2 linked regions of the Kluyveromyces lactis genome follow. The protein of the gene in region 1 interacts with the protein of each later gene in a biochemical or structural test. Links are inferred from orthologs where the notes say so. Each region holds a gene or a part of one and is shown in the gene's direction. Other genes may lie near its edges.

What was found. The genes of interacting proteins can lie anywhere in the genome.
Region 2: the proteins of PEX4 (region 1) and PEX10 form a complex in vitro, tested with the Saccharomyces cerevisiae proteins (2 studies listed by BioGRID). The link is inferred for Kluyveromyces lactis from reciprocal best matches to the Saccharomyces cerevisiae genes PEX4 and PEX10.

What each region holds. Positions count from the first base shown.
Region 1 is NC_006041.1:364,534-366,598, reverse strand, and holds PEX4 (E2 ubiquitin-protein ligase peroxin 4), read left to right. Parts: upstream 1-1,003; coding exon 1,004-1,480; downstream 1,481-2,065. Other genes in the region: KLLA0_E04049g (pepsin-like aspartic protease), read right to left, coding at 1-64; KLLA0_E04005g (RidA family protein), read left to right, coding at 1,711-2,065. UniProt on the Saccharomyces cerevisiae protein: Catalyzes the covalent attachment of ubiquitin to other proteins. Essential for peroxisome biogenesis. Required for UBC4-independent ubiquitination of PEX5.
Region 2 is NC_006041.1:1,480,763-1,483,363, reverse strand, and holds PEX10 (ubiquitin-protein ligase peroxin 10), read left to right. Parts: upstream 1-1,074; coding exon 1,075-1,992; downstream 1,993-2,601. Other genes in the region: SHE4 (She4p), read right to left, coding at 1-859; E3 ubiquitin-protein ligase HEL2, read right to left, coding at 2,072-2,601. UniProt on the Saccharomyces cerevisiae protein: E3 ubiquitin-protein ligase component of a retrotranslocation channel required for peroxisome organization by mediating export of the PEX5 receptor from peroxisomes to the cytosol, thereby promoting PEX5 recycling.

The sequences.
Region 1 (2,065 bases):
TAATATACCCAGCAGAACCAAGGGACGCCAACAGCGCCCCCAAACAAACATCACTTAACTTCATTGCTGGTGTTTGCTATATATGCGCCTTGGATAATAAAAGGGGGAATTAGTAACCAGTACCAAGAAATGAACTTTAATTATTAAAGAAAAAAAGACGTCAGCCAAAGTATAACGTCTTCTGTAAAATGAAAAGACCCTTTATATATATACGCTAAGACAATAGCCGCTGTTTTCTTTCCAATTCAATGAGTCAGTTACCTCAAACTTTTAGGAGAGAAGGTACGTGATGTGAAATGCAAGATGGGTAGAAACATTTTCCAGTGTACGTTTAATCGTGGGAAAAAAACCTTTATAATAAGGCAAGTTTCATAGAACTTCCTTTTTTTTTTTTTTTTTTTTCAACGTTTCAAAGTTCCCACATCGCCAACTTTCGACACGGGAAACAAGCACAAGCCTTCATAGAGCGGGGCATTTCGTCAACGATTAAATATAGAAATGAAACGAGGCAAGAAAAAAAAAGAACTGAGGACACACCGTGAATGCAGATGGGAGCGTAACGGGCCAAGCCCCATCGATGACGAGTATGTTTTTTACTCTGTAGAATGTAGAGCAATGTGTAGTTGTGTAGTTGTGTTGGCTACGTTCTCCTCAGGGTCTGTCCTGTGAAGTATATCTGGGTAACTAGGTTACGGACGTGGTTTATTTTGAGTTGTCATTTGAAGCGTTTTGGCAATTTGGTGACCACTAAGTTATCTGGCTCTCCAGTAATACCCGTAATACGCAGTAACTGGGTGAAGAAATTTTGACAACTTTGTTGCCTGAGCACTCCATCGCCGAAAGGGTGATTTGCTGCAATTTTTTTCCTATATCTTATTGAAGAACTGAAAATTATTCAATTTGGTTCAATTCTGTGACGTGATTGATTGATTGACGGTCTTTGCACGCACGCAAGCACGCATGCATGCAAACACACACACACATGGGAAATTAAAGATCGAAGATGAGTAGGATTGTTAAGGAGTATATGGGGTTGCAGAAACGGTTGCAGACCCCTGAATTCTCATGGATCAGTTTTCTTGCACCGGTAGATGATGATGACTTATCCGAATGGGTATGTCGATTCCAAGGCCCGTCAGAATCGCCGTTTGAAGGGTTTGAGTTGGGTTTGAACATTACCATAGATCTGGAAAAGTATCCGATCAGTGGCGGTCCTCGGGTTCTGTTTGAGCCACGTACCGTGGCTCACCCTAACGTGAAGTGGGACACGGGCGAGATTTGCCTAGATCTTTTGAAAGATGCATGGACCCCGATATATACCTTGCTAGATGTTGTTGGAGCTATAAGAGATTTGTTGGCAGACCCTGGTTTGGACTCGCCACTAGATCTAGACATTGCCCAGATATACGATGCTGACTATGAAGCCTACGTGCAGATTGTTAGGTATAGACTTGAGGAGGCGCGGTTGGCACGCGTTTGAGTACGACTTTTACGTAGAAATACACAGCAACATGGCTGGATTTTTCATTTTTCCTTGCAGTGAAATTGAATAGGAATGATTGAAAAAGGATTAAATGATGGAAATGATGCAACTTATATTCCTTTGTACATGTTTTATACACAAATGTATGTTACTTTGACTTAGTACTTTCTTTTTGCCTAGCTTCCCTATTGTTCGCGGGGTGGAGACACTTGATTATCGAAAGAGAAATGGCTAGAAAGATTACATGGAAAGACGTTGGGGTTAAGGACGGGTTCCCATTAATTTCACCTGGGTTCGCTACAGAATCGGGGAATCAGTTACTATTCAGTAGTGGTTGTGTTGGTACAGATCCTGTTACCAATGAACTACCTGAGGATTTGGAACAACAGGCTAGAAATTCCATGATCAATTTGAAGAAAGTGCTTGAAGTATCTGGATCTTCTGTTGATTCGGTCTTGAAAATCTTGCTGTTCGTTTCCGATGGTAGTTACGCTGGTATCGTTAACAAAGTTTTCAAAGAATTCTTCCCTAATCAACCTGCTAGATCGTGCATTGTCGTTGCATTCCCCAACAATAAATTGA
Region 2 (2,601 bases), about 1.1 Mb from region 1:
GTGACTTGATCAGCTCGATTATTTTCAAACATACATCACCGTTACCTCGTAGCAAGACTCTGACAGAGGGCTTCAATGTCAAGTAAGCTAAAGCTTCAGTATTAATCTCGATATTTTCGCCATTCGAAAGCGAGTCGATGAAAAGGTTGATGCAAGAGTTAAGAGTTTCCTTTTCTATCTTAGTGAATGACCAGATCTTGATCAAAACCAACGCAGTCAGTACTTTATACTTCTCGACCTTAAATGATTGTTGTAACGTCTTAAGGTAATGCTCTGCAATGAATCTTCTGACTGCTTCGTCAATACAGGAAACAGCCAAGAGACGAAGAGCCCCGTTTACAAGATGTTCATCATCCGCTGAAGAATTCAAATTCCTAGTCAATATGTCCTGGAAATCTGTCGAAAGAAACATGTCTCTACAAACGCCAAGGCAGATAGGGAACACCAAAGACATAGCATCTACAAGCAAACGTAAAGAAACATTGCCAGAATCTTCCTCGGCTTCAATTAACAATTGTTGTAGTATATTCCCACACTTCTGCTCCGTATTATCTGAATGGTTGGACATCAACGATTTCATCGTTACAAGAAGTAATGGCCGTATCTCTTGTATGCTACTTCTTAAAAGTATTCTTCTGCAAAGAAACTCCAATTGACCCCAATCCTTCACATAACCGGCAAGCATCGGCACACACTTCCAGCATCGTGTTTCCTCGCCATTGTTATGTATCTCTGAGGTCCAGTTTTGAATAACGTGCAACAAATCCGTCACGTCCTTCGGAGATGAACATCTTTCTTTCAATACACTTTGAGCATCGGCACTATCACTGCCAACAATTCTATCCCAAACTTTATTCATAGCGTTGATATCTTTATTGAATTACAAAAAGAATAAATTCACAGAATTGAACTATCGGTACCAGCCCAAACAACTGTATGTTAGATCGGGTTTAGTTATCTCTGGTTTCGAACCCTATGATTAATCAAATAAAACTTCATTTCTCCAATTGATCAATTTCAACCATCTAACATCTTCAAAAACGAATAAGAACACAAACTGACGAGAGACAAGCAATGGCACCAGACATGAAGTTCCCATTTGCTGATGCACCTAGTATAGTTCAGGCGCATCAAAAGGATGATACTGTGGAAAACTTGCTGTTACAAAAGATCCAGGATGTACTACGGAAAGTTAAGGGACAACAGTTCACTAACAGGTATGTTAGTGAGATAATGATCCTCAGCAAGTTGATATACTTGTCAATTACAACACTAAGGTATAGGAGAACGCTTGGAGAAGAGTACGTTGATTTGGCGTATGTTGATAGGCGAGGAAAAGGTGTTGCGAGACTCCTGCGAAGGATTGGTTTCGCTATCAGTTATTGTGGGGTACCGTGGATATTATCGAAAGTATTCTACAAGTATAAGCTCAATGAGAGGGGATCTGGTTTCTTGAAAGTATTCAATGGCAAGAGTTTCAGGGACATCTTGGATTCCACTTTGAATTTGCACTTAATTATATTCTACTTGAGCGGACAGTATTATGATATCTCAAAGAGAATATTTGGAATGAGATATGTGGTTGGCCATGAAATGAACAAGAATGAGGTAGAATTCAAGAAGAAGTCATCGCAAAACTACAAGATTCTTGGTTTTATACTTGGTATGCAATTAGCTTCTAAGCTTTTACCGCAGATTGCAGAATACATCGCTGACAGAATTGGAACAGATGATGGGAAGAGCCACAAGAGTTTAAGTGCATTAGCTAAAAAACACACCTCAAAAGATCTTAGCGATCTAGAAGTCCTACCTTTCATCAAAGAGGATTCACGTAAGTGTGTTTTATGTCTTAACTATATGCTGGATCCCAGCGCGACTCCGTGTGGTCACCTTTTCTGCTGGGATTGTATCATGGAATGGACGTTAGAAAGACAGGAGTGTCCATTATGCAGGCAAAGGTGTCCGAGACAGCTGACGATACCTGTTAGATAAAGCTTAGAAGAATATCTAAATGTTTCAGCGAGCTTTCTTGTATTATTAAAACAATCTGCTGTATATAACGGGGTTAAATCTATATGCCAATATGGAACAGTAGTTGTTTTTGTTTGCTCTTTTTCTTACTACCACTAGCTGGTAATGCATTGTCTAACGAATCCAAGTTGATAGAATCGTTGTCGTTTTGAGGCTTACCCCAAGTGGATGGGTTTGGTATGGTAGTCTGTTTCACTGGAGGTGCAACAAATTTTTTCTTAGTAGCTTGTAACTTGGGGAAGCTGGTTGGATTAGGTGATTTGATAGCTGTCACATTCGGTTGTGAATTCACTACAACGGTTGAAGAACCTGGCGGTGATTGATTCTTCTTCGCATAGTTTAAAGAAGTTGATGACGATGAATTGGAAGTCAAACCGCTCCTAATAACTGGAGAGGACGGTGAAGAAGAGCCATTTTTCCGCAAATTAGTATACGAGGCTTTGGAGGAGAATATAGGTTCGGATACAGCTGGTAGAGACGTGAACTTCACGTTCGACCCGCCAACACCAGAAGAACTCTTTTTACCCCATTTACCATAAACTACGTTAACCGAAGATGATGAATCGGCGA